Linked DNA regions of Diceros bicornis minor. The protein of the gene in region 1 purifies or fractionates together with the protein of each later gene. This does not show direct contact. Links are inferred from orthologs where the notes say so. Each region holds a gene or a part of one and is shown on either strand. Other genes may lie near its edges.

What was found. Proteins that work in one complex are often made in the same cells at the same time.
Region 2: the proteins of NOP2 (region 1) and NIFK fractionate together in Homo sapiens (co-fractionation; 3 studies listed by BioGRID, with this or other methods). This does not show direct contact. The link is inferred for Diceros bicornis minor from reciprocal best matches to the Homo sapiens genes NOP2 and NIFK.

Annotation. Positions count from the first base shown.
Region 1 is NC_080756.1:55,119,594-55,126,715, forward strand, and holds the start of NOP2 (probable 28S rRNA (cytosine(4447)-C(5))-methyltransferase), read left to right. Parts: upstream 1-4,065; 5' UTR 4,066-4,171; intron 4,172-4,406; 5' UTR 4,407-4,410; coding exon 4,411-4,513; intron 4,514-5,839; coding exon 5,840-5,885; intron 5,886-6,063; coding exon 6,064-6,152; intron 6,153-6,317; coding exon 6,318-6,568; intron 6,569-7,122. Other genes in the region: CHD4 (chromodomain-helicase-DNA-binding protein 4), read left to right, coding at 1,298-1,493, 2,225-2,388, 2,561-2,578. UniProt on the Homo sapiens protein: S-adenosyl-L-methionine-dependent methyltransferase that specifically methylates the C(5) position of cytosine 4447 in 28S rRNA. Required for efficient rRNA processing and 60S ribosomal subunit biogenesis.
Region 2 is NC_080749.1:11,042,606-11,050,160, reverse strand, and holds the start of NIFK (MKI67 FHA domain-interacting nucleolar phosphoprotein), read right to left. Parts: upstream 3,099-7,555; 5' UTR 3,055-3,098; coding exon 2,950-3,054; intron 2,051-2,949; coding exon 1,913-2,050; intron 1-1,912.

The sequences.
Region 1 (7,122 bases):
ATTAAGGTTTTTTTTTGTGAGGAAGATCAGCCATGAGCTAACATCCATGCTAATCCTCTCTTTGCTGAGGAAGACCGGCTCTGAGCCAACATCTATTGCCAATCTTCCTCCTCTTTTTCTCCAAAGCCCCAGTAGATAGTTGTATGTCATAGTTGCACATCCTTCTAGTTGCTGTATGTGGGACGCAGCCTCAGCATGGCTGGAGAAGCGGTGTGTCGGTGTGCGCCCGGGATCCAAACCTGGGCCGCCAGTAGCGGAGCATGCGCACTTAACTGCCAAGCCACGGGGCCGGCCCAGTTTAATTTATAAATTAGGCACAGTAAGAGATTAGCAACAATAATATTAAAGTTGGCTGTGGGGCCATTATTAAGTAAAATAAGGGTTACTTGAACACAATCACTGTGATACTGTGACAGTCAATCTGATAACCGAGATGACTACTAAGTAACTAATAGGCAGGTAGCCTATACAGCATGGATAAGCTGGACAAAGGAATGATTCACGTCCTGGGACGGACAGAGTGGGACGGTGCAAGATTTCATCATGCTACTCAGAACAGTGTGCAATTTAAAACGTGAATTGTTTATTTCTGGAATTTTCCATTTAATATTTTTGGACCGCAGTTGACTCTGAGTAACTGAAACTTTGGAAAGCAAAACCGCGGATAAGGAGGGGGACTACTGTAGAATGATCTCAATTATGTAAAATTTGTGATTTTAATTGTTTATATATTCTGTATTTTCTAAATTGAGTTTTTATCATTTTTGTATGAGTGAATCAATAAAGGGTAAAGAGTTTTATTTTTTTAAGTTTTATTTATTTATGTTTTTGTGAGGAAGATCAGCCCTGAGCTAACATCCATGCTAATCCTCCTCTTTTTGCTGAGGAAGACCGGCTCTCAGCTAACATCTGTTGCCAATCCTCCTCCTTTTTTGTGTTTCCCCAAAGCCCCAGTAGATAGTTGTATGCCTTAGCTGCACATCCTTCTAGTTGGTGTATGTGGGATGCCGCCTCAGCGTGGCCAGAGAAGTGGTGCATCGCTGTGCGCCCGGGATCCGAACCCGGGCCGCCAGTAGCGGAGCGTGCGCACTTAACAGCTAAGCCACGGGGCCGGCCCAGGGTAAAGAGTTTTAAAAACGTAGACCTTGAAAGGAGAGTAAAGAAGGCAATGCAATGTTGAACTGCTTGGGTTTGGGGGAGCCATCTGTAAGGTTCTTTATAGGTTCTGAGAGGCCCATCAGAAATAAGCAAAGTGAGTGTCAGTTCATCTCCCATTTCCTCTTTATCCCTTGTCCAGCTCTTAGAACAAGCCCTGGTGATTGAGGAACAGCTGCGCCGGGCAGCTTACCTGAACATGTCAGAGGACCCCTCTCACCCTTCCATGGCCCTAAACACCCGCTTTGCTGAGGTGGAGTGTTTGGCGGAGAGTCATCAGCACCTGTCCAAGGAGTCAATGGCAGGAAACAAGCCAGCCAATGCAGTCCTGCACAAAGGTAGCCAGTGGCTCCCCTGCCTCCTGCTGACTCAGCCTCCTTCTTCCTCTACCCCTCCCCAACACATTGGCTTCTTGTTTCCAAACCTTTTTCAGAGCCCCTTTGGGAGTTTAGCCTTCCTCCTTGGGAAGCTAATGTCTTAGAGGCAATCGAGGACAGTAGTTCTTTGCCTCTTTCAACTCTTAATATATTCAAGTTGTTGGAGGTGGAAAGCAAAGCAGAATAATATAGTGTTATCTGGGATACTTCAGAGGTAACTTCAGGTGATTTAAGATCCTGTCAAATTCTAGACCCTTTTCAACATTTTTTTTTCTGATTAAAGTTAAAACATTGTGAGAGAGGTGGAGGGTGAAGTGAGGAAAGGAAGACTGTTATAAAGGAAGAGGGAGACACCTCGAAAAGGTGGAGAAGAAAGATAGAAAAGGAAATAATAGGAATAAGCGTGTCTCAGGAAGTAGAGAAAATAGAGACAGTTGGGAGCAAGGGACAGTGAGGGTTAGGTGACTTTAAGAAGCATAGAAGCATGGCCAGTTGGAACTAGAATGTGAGGAATAGGAATTTGAGCATGGTAGAGGCCAGGTCACGTGACGCAGTGACAAAAGACAATACTTGAGCATTCCAGCACATCAGTCCCTTGGTCAATGAGAAGTGATGGGGGCCAGGGGTCCACTGGTAAGAAGGATCTTGGTCTTGACCACCACAGCTCACCACTTTTTTTTTTTCCTGTGCAGTTCTGAAACAGCTAGAAGAACTGCTGAGTGACATGAAAGCCGATGTGACTCGACTCCCAGCTACTATTGCCCGAATTCCCCCAGTTGCTGTGAGGCTACAGATGTCAGAGCGTAACATTCTTAGCCGCCTGGCAAACCGAGCACCTGAACCTACTCCACAGCAGGTAGGACCGTTTTCTTCTGGCCAGCTGTTCGAGCAGAGCCACTGTTACTTTGCTGTCTGTCCCTAGCTTTACATACTGGACAGGTGGGGCTGTGTCACCACTGAGTTCCCGTAGGATCAGGTGGATTCCTGTGGTCTGGCATTCTGACTCCCTTGGCTCTCTTTTCCTGTAGGTAGCCCAGCAGCAGTGAAGATCAGACTGATGATACCACCTCCACCGCTGAGCAGTGACCTTCCTCACTTTCCCTTGCCCAGCTTCTCACCTGGGGGCCTGAGAGACCCTCTCCTTCCTCCTGCCCCATCTTCCATGTTGTAAAGGAACAGCCCCCAGTGCACTGGGGGAGGGGAGGGAGTGAGGGGCAGTGGTGCCCTTCCTGCTGGAGAGACATGCAGCAGTAGCGCCGGCGCCATCTGCAGGGAGCTGGCGGGCTGGCCGCCTTCTGGGCCCTGGCTTCTCCCTACTGTAACGTCTGTTACACACAAACTGTTGTGGGTCCCGCCAGGCTTGAAGAAAATGATCTGAATTTCTTTCTCCTTTTGGTTTTATTTTGTTGGTTTACTTTGTGTTTCCTTTTCTCCTTTTTTGGGGTATTCAGAGTGGGCCGGGCCCCTGGGCGAGACACAGCTACCTCTGTTGGCATCTTTTTAATACCAGGAACCCAGCGGCTCCAGCCACTGAGCAGCTAGAATAAAATAAAGTGAAAAAAAAAAAAAAAGGAAAAGAACCAAAAGCGTAAAAAACCACAGCAAATTTCTTGATGAAAACTGAAAATAAAAGTTTCCTTGTATTTTAGTGCTCTGGTTCGGTGTGGGTGTAGGTTCAGGTGGATGAGTGTGCATGACAGGAGCCCTGGGAAATGTGCAGCTGAGAACCAGGGGCTACTTGTGTTCTAATAGTCCACAAGAGACCGTGTCACGTCTGCACGTGCCCGCTGTGCTCTGGACCAAGGATGACCAGCATCTGGGGGAATGAGCGGCTCCCACACCACCCGGGCTCGTGCCCTGTACTACCGGCCAACGGCTCTGTACCGTTGAGGAAGTGAACTCTGGGCTGTGGATTTCTCATGTATAAAATAAAGCTATCTTCCTCATAGAGTTGTGAAGATAAAACCAGTAAAGTGCTTGGAACAGTTTCTAACAGCTACTAAGCACTGTTAGTATTTATTTGAAGGAAGGCTGAAGTTTTATCTAGTTGTGTGAAACTAGGATGTGAGGTGTCTTCCGACCTCCAGCTGTGCACCTAGGCAGAGAGGAACCCTACCCGACGGGCAGAGCGGTGGTCTGGGTCAAAGAGGGCTTCCCAATTGAAGGGATCGGGGTGGGAGAGCGGCGTGGGATTCCAGGACTCCGAGACTGGGCGGAGCGCGGACACTGCCAAGAGGAGGGCCCCGATCTCACGCCTTGGTTTGAGGGGAGGGGCGGCTCTCAGGTTCCAGTTACTCCGATTGAAATCTGCAGTGAGGCGAAAAGCCAACGCCTTGAGGGAGGAGCAGGGAAGCGCAAAACGGTTCCGTCCCGGTTCCTTTCGCCGCCCTCTGCGACTGTGAACGGAGCGGTCCGTCTCCAAATCTTCCCCGGCCGCGCTGCCGACAGCCCCGCGCGCGTTCCGGGTTCCGCGCCCGACCAGAAGCGGCCGGAAGAGGCGGGGCCACCAGTGAAGCGAGCTCTGCGCGCCTGCGCGAAGCGTTTCCGTGGAGTGCGGCGCCCGAACGCTAGCCTCGCGGTGCACGTGGAGTGCTGCCCCGCGTACCCAGGAGGCGTCTGGGGCCTGGACCCGCCTTCGGGTGAGCCGAGGCTTCGGGTGGTTCTGGAGGAAGTCGGGGAAGGAAGGGTGACTGCACTGACCTGGACTGGGGCGTGGGGAGGGACGCAGGGTCCGGGGCTCCGCGTGGAGGGGGTTTGGTTAGGCCTCGAGGGCTGGTTGACCGGATGCGCTTTCCCACCGTAATGCGCTAAGTCTGCGGTGTGCCTTTCCCTTTCCAACACGCGCGACTCTGCTCCCATTTTTCGTTTCCCCAGTACCATGGGGCGCAAGTTGGACCCTACGAAGGAGAAGCGCGGGCCGGGCCGAAAGGCCCGGAAGCAGAAAGGTGCCGAGACTGAACTCGCCAGATTCTTGCCTGCAGGTAAGGGTCAGGCCTGCCTCCTCCCCATTCTCCAGCTTTTGTGCCATCTTTTCATCTGTATGATAACCCCGTCCGTTCTTTAGTTTTTGTTCACCTTCTGCTCAAGTGGAATTTCGTTTGTATGAGTTATTAGGAAATAGGCGTGAATGAAACACTCACTGTCATCAGCCAGAACTTAGGGAAGATGTGACAGGGACACAAGAACCCATGCAAGGAGAGGCCCGCTTTAACATTGAGGGAGTTCAGAGGAAGGGGGATCCCATGCAGTTAGAGAATTTAAAAAGATTTTGTTATGAAGTTAGGTTTTGAAAAATGGCTGACATTTTAGCAAGTGGAAGTTGGGAAGGGGACTCCAGGCCAGTCGCTGTGAGCTGCATTGTGGAGGGGATGGAGGTGGGAAAGCACAGAGCTGGTTCCCACATGGTGAGTAGGCTACTGCTTGGAACACTGGGTAAGAGAGAAGCATGGACAGGTAGTTTGTGTTGGGCATTGGACAAAAGATGCAGTTTATTGCAGTACTAACCTGTGCTAGGCACTATACCGGACTCTTTGGACACATCATATCACTTCATTCTCTTAGTTTCCTGTGGGAGAGGCACTGTTAAGGCAACGGATGTTGAGAGGTTAAATGACCTGCATATAGTTATTAAGTGACAGGGCTGAGATTTAAACCTTTTATTTCTTGGAGAATGTTTGAAAAACAGCAATCATAAAGGTAAAATCTACTGTGGCTAGTGACTGATTAAATTGAGAGTAAAGGAAAAGGCAGAAGAAAAGATAAATTTTGAGTCTGTGTTATCAGAATGGTGATGATGCTATTTATTGCAATCAGAAGTGTGGAGGTGGGGCCGGTCGGTGGCGAAGCGGTTAAGTTCCCGTGCTTTGGCAGCCCAGGGTTCGCCGGTTTGGATCCTGGGCATGGACCTAGGCACCGCTCATCAAACCATGCTGAGGCAGAGTCCCACATAGAACAACTAGAAGGATGTACAACTGTGACGTACAACTACCTATTGGGGCTTTGGGGAGAAAAAAGGAAAAAAGGAAGAAGATGGGCAATAGATGTTAGCTCAGGGCCAGCCTTCGTCAAAGAAAAAAAAAAAAGTAGTCTGGAAGGAGGCCCAATTTGGATTTGGTTGGTGAACAACCAGATGGAGATCATCTCCTTTACATCTCTTATCCAGCTCCTGGTAAAACACTGTGGAGTGAGTTGCAGTCTACTCCCTTTAATTACTGTACTTATTTCTCCCCACTTTTATTTTCTCTCCTGTTGCTCTTTTTCATTTCACCTGTAACCTCCTGTTCTGCCTCTTTTTTATGTTTTAACAGCTGGTGATGAAAATTCCAAGAGGCTGTCTAGTCGTGCTCGGAAGAGGTGAGTGAGGATGTCTAGACTTATATCGAGTCAACTGGTGCTGCTCTTCCTAAGCCACATGAATCCATGTGATCATGTTGATGGAAAGGGCTGTTTGGGGACTGTCATGTTTCCCTGTCATGAGAAATGGCAGAGCTTGGAGATATGTTCCATTTTCTCACTCCTTGTATCTTTTCAGAGCAGTCAAGAGGAAGTTGGGCTCTGCTGAAGTCCCTAAGATGAATAAGTCTTCTGGGATCAAACCATTGCCTGGAAAGCTACCAAAAGGTCAGTGAAAATAGGAGCTGGGTGCTACATGAGGAACCCTCTGGGTCCTGGGTAGAGAAGGGCCTGCTAAATGAAAGGAACAGCCAAAGGACTTTCTTGGGGGTAGAAAATACAGGCTCTATCAGTGTGTGACTGCCATCAGTCCAGAATTCTTCAAACCTTTAGGGATCTTTGCAAGAGCTGTCCAGACACCTGGTAAGAAGGGAGCCCAGTCCTTATTAAATACTGCTCAAGGCAAGAAGCGCCCAGCACCAACCCATAGCAGTGAGGAGGAAGAGGAGGAGGAAGACTCTGAAGAGGATGGTGTGGTGAACCAGGGGGACCTCTGGGGCTCCGAGGACAGCGACGCTGATATGATAGATGACTGTGGAGCTGACTCCAACTCAGAGGATGACAATGAGGATGAAGGTGAAGAGGTGAGATTTATCTGTTCAGGAAGGAAGCCTTGCCTTTTAGTCTTTCCAGATCCTTGAGACTATGCCTCAGTGACAAGGATAAGCCTGAGTAGAGAAGATATTTTAGTGTTCCATCACTGCTTTCCTATCATCTTATGGCCTCTCAGTGTACATGCAAGTTTAAAAGAGCTGTAGAATAGAGCATTTTAAAATATGAGAATGCTCAGTGCTGGTGAGGATGTGGTAAGGTGGACACTTGTATGCCCCACTGATGGGAATAGAAATGCACACACGTGTTTTATAAAGCATTTGGCGTCTGAGGACCTTGAAAAGTTTCTTCTTTTTAACCTAGTAATTCTTTTTTTTTTTTTTTTTTAATGAGGAAGATCAGCCCTGAGCTAACATCTATTGCCAATCCTCCTCCTCCTTTTTTTTTCCCCCCTCTTCTCCCCAAAGCCGCAGTAGATAGTTGTGTGTCATAGCTGCACATCCTTCTAGTTGCTGTATGTGGGACGCCACTTCAGCATGGCCGGAGAAGCGGTGCGTTGGTGCTCGCCCGGGATCCAAACCCGGGC
Region 2 (7,555 bases), on another chromosome or scaffold:
ACACAAAACCCTCATGTTCAATAGAAGACAGATAAATGAACTTTAGTATGTTCAAGCAAAGGACACAGCAATGACAATGAATGTGCTAGAGCTGTATCAATAAAGCTCAGAGCAGACAGTTGAATGAAAAAATTAAGTTTCAGAATAAAATATATAACTAATATAGATTTAAAACAATAATGTACAATGTATATTGATACATGAGTATGTAGTAAAAATTGAAAAACACACACAGCAATGAAAAACACTGAATTCATGAATACTAATTCCCTGGGCATGGGGAGAAGGTGCAGAGGACTGGGGAAGGGTACAAAGGGACCTCAAGTTCACCTATAATCCATTTCTTAAAGAACAAAGATCTGGAGCAAGTTTGAGATGAAGCTGACATCTGATAAAGGTGAACGGCAGATACCTGAACAGTCACTAAATCACTCTCTAGCAGACTTCAGGAGGTTTGAAATATCTCACCCACCTAATAAGAAACCACTACAAATAAGCAAATGGAATAAAAGGGAAGGAATACAAAGAAAATATGTTATTTTCGTTAGGATGGAAGAAATACTAGGGCACTTTAAATTTAAAATTCCCTTTAATGCTGACGTGTTGCTTTGACAACATTTAATACCTGTGGTTTTATAACAACTAGCAGATGATGGACACATACCCTATCCCCTCACATGCCAAATCAAATATAAAATTTAACTTTGATTTGTTATAACTCAGGCAGGAAAATGCGGAAAAACTGTATCAAAAAACCCCCAGAGAGGGGCCGGCCCCGTGGCGTAGAGGTTAAATGCGCGCTCTGCTGCTGGCGGCCCAGGTTTGGATGCCGGGTGTGCACCTCCGCACCGCTTGTCAGGCCATGCTGTGGTGGCGTCCCACATAAAGTGGAGGAAAATAGGCACGGATGTTAGCTTAGGGCTGATCTTCCTCACAAAAACAAAAAAACAAAAAACCCCCAGAGATTCCAACAATGAGAGGTCTATGGTTACAACCAATTAAAGTTTATGTGTGCAGGAAGAAAATAAAGTGGGCCACTCCTCCTTTACTGATACAAACCACATAAACCATTTTTTATCAGGAGATAGAGATAATATAACAATAACATTTATACAGTGTTTACTGTGTGTTATCAGGCATTGCTCTAAGAACCTTACATTCATTACCCCGTGTTTAATCTTTCACTAGATACTCCTAGGAGGTTGGTGCTCTTTTACTCATATTTTACAAATCAGAAAACCGATGCATGCAGAGGTTACATAATTTGTCCAAGGTCGTACAACTAGTAACCTGTAGAGTCAGGCCTCAAACCTAGGTAGTCTGGCTCCAGTGTCCTCATCCTTAACTATTCACTATACAAACTTTTGCTATTACGGGGTGCCTACACCAAAGGGTAATACAAGATGATGTATGAACCGCTCCTCAAACTGAAGTTCATGTACACCTGGCTCAGTAGCCATAAAATAAATATGATTTATTTACTAGGATTGTCAATTTAATTTGAGGATTTGGGGCAATCACTTTTTTTTCTCGAGGAAGATTGGCCCTGAGCTCACATCTGTGCCAATCTTCCTCTATGTTGTATGTGGGTCGCGGCCACTGCATGGCTGACAAATGGTGTAGGTCCGTGCCTGCGATCCAAACCCGAAAACCCAAGCCACTGAAGCAGAGCATGCTGAACTTAACCACTAGGCCATGGGGCCAGCCCCCACGTTTTTTTTTAAATAAAGTAAACATTTACAATAATACTGATTTTGCTTTTGTGGTTGTTTCAGGTTCTAAACCTCATCCACCTCCCTTTTCTGGAGCAAAGTCTGATAAACAATAATATGTGGACATGCTCTCAACTATCAAGGATGACATCCTTTTAAAGAAACAAACAGACAATCTAAATTCAACACAAAAATCTTACCCTTTTACTTCTGGACAGTCTAAGTCTTGTAACAGTGCCAAACTGCGAGAAATATGCTCGGATCTGGGTTTCGTAAAGCGCTGGAGGTAGGTGGCCCACATAGATTACTCCAGGAGTGAGTTTTTTTTTCTCCTGTCGCTGAAAACATAAAAAACAGATAATTACTTTTTCAATTAAAAAAAATCACATTGCAACAAAACTTGCAAACCTCCCTAACTCTCAAGAGGAGACCAAGAGCCTAGCCACTATTTCCACTTAGCAGAACAGTAACTAAAGAGTTAGCTGTTTAATGTCCATCTCCCCACGAGGACAATCATCACAGCGGATTGTCTTCTCAGCCTGTGTCCCAGCACGCCGCACAATGTTCATGCTCGATAACTATACGTTGAATCAACAAGTCTTTGAACACACTATTTTAAATCTTCAGGCCGGAGAACTCCACATAAAAGTACCCTTCACCTCTGTATGCGGATCGCTGTTGACTCGCACCCACCTAACCAAACAATTTCGAAACTTCCGTAACCCTTCACAACGCCAACGAACTTTTCAGCGTCTGTCATCATGTCCTTGCCTTCTATTACAACTTTTAAGTTTTCAAACGTGTATTTCCTGCTAAAAATCAAGACAACTATAACTTGACGTCAGGGGCCCTAATCAGCAAACGGAACTTGGCAAATACTGTCTCCAAACTACCAACCAGACATATGAACTCTCTGAATTCGGGGGCCAGGCGGACGCGTGGGAGCTCTAATCCGTGGACCGAGAGGGCCCGTCCCAGCTGGCTCCTGCTCCTCTCGTCCCCCCACACCTCACCCTTAGTCCACGGGAGGACTCTAAGACCTCCGCGGCCACAGCCCACCCCCATTTCCCAGTCAGCGCACACTCCGTCTCGGGGGCTCGGCCTACAAACTCGCGAGGTCGGCGCTCACCCGAGGCCATCCCGGGGGCAGCAGGGCGCGGCACCGGGCCCGCGCGTCCCCGCGGCCCAGACCCGGCCCGCCGCCTCCCCTCGCAGCCCGGCCGTGGCGGCCGCTCACCTGGGTGGCGCGCCGGCGAACCTGCGCCACCTCCTTCTGAAACTTGGCGTCCTCCTGTGGGTTCAGGGACAGGAGAGTCTTGGCGGGGCCCGCAAAGACCGCCATGCTGCAAGTCCCCAAGACGACCAGCTCCACGCGGCGCGTCCGGAAATGCCGAGCCCTGAGTTCCTCCGAAGCGGAAGTGAGGCGGGACGTGCGCGGCGACGCGCGGGGCGCGGGGGCGGGGCTGGGCGAGTTCGGGCGCCCCCTGCGGGCCGGGTGCCCTTTGGCCTCGCTCTCGCGCTGACCGCCTGCCTAAAATGGCAGACGGTAGTTTGTTCACGCTTGCTTTGCGGCCAGCCAATTTCAAAGGGGGTTTAAAAATAAATCCCAAACAATATCCGTGCTTTTGAGGTCTTGCTAACCATTCTTTAATTCTTTTTTATTTCCTTTTTTCACTCGCTCGTTTCTGAGCCTACTGTGTGTCCTGCTGCTGCTGCCCTTAGGTAACATACAGATTGGGTGGGTGGGGGGGGATGGGGAGTGGGTGGATAAAGGACGTTTGAGGGTGGGATTGGTGTAATGGGAGACATAAGAGCCCCGTGGAGGGGGGAAGCACACTGGTGACCAATGAGGGCCTCCTGGAGGAGGTGGCATTTGAACTGAGACCTGAAGGCTGGAAGGAGCAGCCTGTGCAGACCTGGAAGCCCACCGTGCAGGCAAGAGGGACAGCGTGTACAGTGTCCTTACGGCTGGAAAGAAGGAGTCGGCCACTGTGGTTGGAGCTCAGCGTGTGAGGGAGAGGGGCAAGGGGGCAGGCTGGAGCTCCAGGGCTCTGTGTCAAGGTTTAAAGCTTGGGTTTTATTGTAAATGCAGGGGGTGTGAGGGTTTTAAGCAAGGCTGTGGCTGTACCTTTCAACTACTACTCTAGTAAGGGTGGAAGGTGGATAGCAGAGGAAGCGGGGGTGGCGTGGGGTGGGGTGGGGACGAGGCTAGAGCAATAGTCAAAGCAGAGCTGCTCTGGGGGATGGTGGTGGCAGGTGTTCTGGAACCAATGAGGGCTGAGTTTGGCTGGTGCCCAGGGGTACCTGTGGGAAGAGTGGATGGTAACTGTAGGGTAGAGTGGCGTGGGAGCGATTGTACAGTGAGGGCCAGCGTGCTTCCTCTGGGAGCCACTTGCCTGCCTTTGCGTCCCTCACCCCAGTCACACCCCAGCTCAGCTCAACTGTCACCTGTCAGGGAAGCCCTCTGCGACCCTGTTGCCGAGGTCACCTCCTCCTATTAAATACTCTCTTACAATGGCGTTTTCATGAACAAGCTGGATTTTCAGGAGAGTGCAAGCAGAGAGCAATTTTATTCTTTCTCAGGACTGCTTCTTTTCATGGACTTGTTCCTTCTCCCCCCTGGACGAAATCTTGGGGAGAGCTCCTCAGATATCAGTGTATAGAAATGTTTTCAGGGTGTTCAAAATCTGACAGCAAGTGTCTCCTCTCCCCACACTCGGACCTGTCTCAGGTGAGAAATCTCTCAAGGAGTCACAGTTGACATTGTCTCTCTGGCTTCACCTTGTCCCCTGCACCCCAGTTTCTTTTTTGGCTTCTCCATGATTGAGATGGGGAGAGCGCAAGGAAGCGGCAGGAAGGGGCTCCTTGACTGGCAGGTGCCATGTGGTTGGGGAGCTTCAGGTGGGGCGCATCCTTGGTTGCTGACTCACTCTTTCCAGGCATACTTTTGAGGTGTTCCCTCGCCTGGCTGCTCATGGCTTAGCCTGCCTGCCTGTGGTACCACCTGCCTGCTTAGGTCAGCTGTGTGTCCAGGTGCTCCTATTGGAAGGGCCTTTCTAAGCTGACCCCATCCTGATCCTTTAGTAAGGGCCACATCTTTTGTCCTCTCTGTTGTAGGAGATGCTTTTTCCTCTTTGCATTGCTGTAGGGTGGGCCTCCTGGCTGGTCAAAGTTAGATGTTTGATTTATGAGTCACTTATGGGTGCCTGTATCCCCCAAATTCCAGAGGACACAGAACAAGCTGTTGGTTCCCTAAAGGCCCCTCCCTTGAGTGTGTGTGTGTGAACACTCCCCTCTTTCCCAAGGATGAAACTTGACATATCTCATAGCTTCTAAGGGGAAGAGAGAGGTAGGGAGGAGCAGAGAAGGGAAGACAGCAAAGTGACAGTTCTCTTCTGGGAGATCCTCTTTCCAGTTTTTGCAACCACCTCCATGAATTCCTGGCCTCCCGTTACATCCCCCAGGTGGGTGGTGACCCAAGGTTTCTCAAAACTGAATGAGAGGCCAGCCGCAGTGGCCTAGAGGTTAAGTTTTGTGTGCTGTGCTTCGGCAGCCCAGGTTTGGTTCCCAGGCGCAGACCTACACCACTCGTCTGTCAAGGGCCTTGCTGTGGTGTTGGCTCACATACAAAAAGAGGAAGATTGGCAACAGATGTTAGCTCAGGGTGAATCTTCCTCAGCAAAACAAAAGAAAACAAAACAATGAGCATGTAGATTTCCTGGGGGTCTTGTTACATGGCCAGTTCTGATTCCTAGCTCTGGGGTGGGGCCCCAGGTTCTGTGTTTCTAACAAGCTCCCCGGTGAGGCTGATGCTCCGTGGACCAAACTTGGAGTAGTAGTAGGAGGGATTCGGGCAATTGATCACTGTGCTGGGTTGAATTGTGTTCCCCCAAAAGAGATGTTCAAGTCTTAATCCCGGTATATGTGATGGAAATAGGGTCTTTGCAGATGTAATCAAGTTAAGGCGAGGTCATGCTGGAGTAGGGTGGGCCCTAATCCAATAACTAGTGTCCTTATAAAAACAAGGAAATTTGGATACACACACACACACACAGACACACACACACGGAGAACACCACAGTGATGATGAAGGCAGAGATGGGAGAGAGGCAGTTGCAAGCTAAGAAACGCCAAGGATTGCTGACAACCATTGGAAGCTGGGAAGAGGTAGAGAAGGATTCTTCCCTAGAGCCTTTGGAGAGAAAATCGTCCTGCCAACATCTTGGGTTTGGATTTCTAGTCTCCAGAACTGTGAGAATAAGTTTCTGTTGTTTTAAGCCCCCCAGTTTTGGTGATTTGTAATGGCAGCCCTAGGAAATGAATACAGCACCATGGTGGGTGCCGCCTGAAGGGGTTTTCTGAGGCAGACACTGGTCCTGGGCCTGTCTTGGCTGTTGGGAGCTACCCATGAAGGCCAGGTGCCAGAGGAGCTCCTGGATGTTCCCAGAAGGATGCCGGGCCACCCTCTCCTTGGCCCTTCACCAGACCATAGAAGTCAGCCCTTAACTGGGGACGGAGTCTCAGGCCCCGAATCCTCACCGCAGCCCAGACCGGACCTGCTTTCATTTCCCCTTTGAGCCTTGGCCAGTCACTCTCAGTTAACAGTGATTTCCACTGACGTTCGCTGTGGCCCTGCTGGGTAACATCTCATTCTGCCACCCAGGGCCCAAGGGTCACTCTGGGACCTAGGTAGGTGATCACAGGAGTTGATGTGGTATCCTGGTCAGAGAGCCCAGAAACCCGTTACCGCCCTGGGATGTGCCTGGGGGAGATGGCCCTCTCTCCAGGAGGGCCTCAGTCTCCTCATCCGTGAAGAAGGGTTTGGCTGGGACGGTTGTTAAGGTCTCCCTGGGGGAGTCTTCACTCCTTAGTGGCAGCAGCAACACTACTAATGCTCAGACTGGCAGCTTGCCTTCTTCATGCCAGGTGACAGGCTGGGGCTGTGTGTGTTTGTCCTTCCTTATCTTTTCTCTTCCTCCTTCTTCCTTCTTCCCTCCCTTCCTTCTCTTCTTCCCTCCCTCCCCCCCCCCTTTCTCTTTTTGCATGGAGGTGGGGAGGCTACTGACACCTTGGGAGGGACTGTTCTTCACTGAGCTGGACTGTCCCATACATACCACCCTGGTACCCTGTCCCCTGGCACTCAATGCCAGTGGCACCCCAGTCATTGTAACAACCAGAATGGCTCCAGGCACTGCCACACACCCCTGAGTGGACTATTAAATGTGCTTACTGCAGGACTTTCCCTTCCTTTTCCCCCACTGACCTCCTATGCCACCCCTCTGCTGGGATGGAATGGTCACGTGTCTTTCCTGTGATGCCACCATCACCGCCTATGGGCTGGAACACCTGCTGGGGGCCCAGCATGGTGAGGGCTGGTGGCTGGGATATGAGGTGGGGCGGGCAGCAGAGCTGGGCAAGCAGCAGGGTGAGGCAGGGTGTGCTGTGTCCAGGGGGCTGGGCCTTAGGAGGGAGGGCTCTGTGGGGTGGGGCTGAGGGCTGGCAGGAGAAGGGACACACGTGGGCCCGGCCCACCTTCCCCCTCCCGTGTTTTCCTCTCTGCCTGGTCCCTGTGTGGTCATCCAACGTGCCACCCTGGATAGTGGGCCCAGCCATCAGAGTCAGCCTGCTCGGCCCTGCCCAGCTGCCCCTTGCTCAGATTTTGGAGATGGGCCTGAAACGGGCAATTCCAGGGGAAGAAGTGGGGAGAAACTCAGTGCAGCCTCAATAAAATGTCACCTGACAAACTAAAATTCAGTCTGCAGACCATTCAGGGCCGTGTGTCCTGAAGCCACGAGAAAGATTTTCTTCCTTTGTCCTTGTGAATGACTGTCACCTTTGCCTAC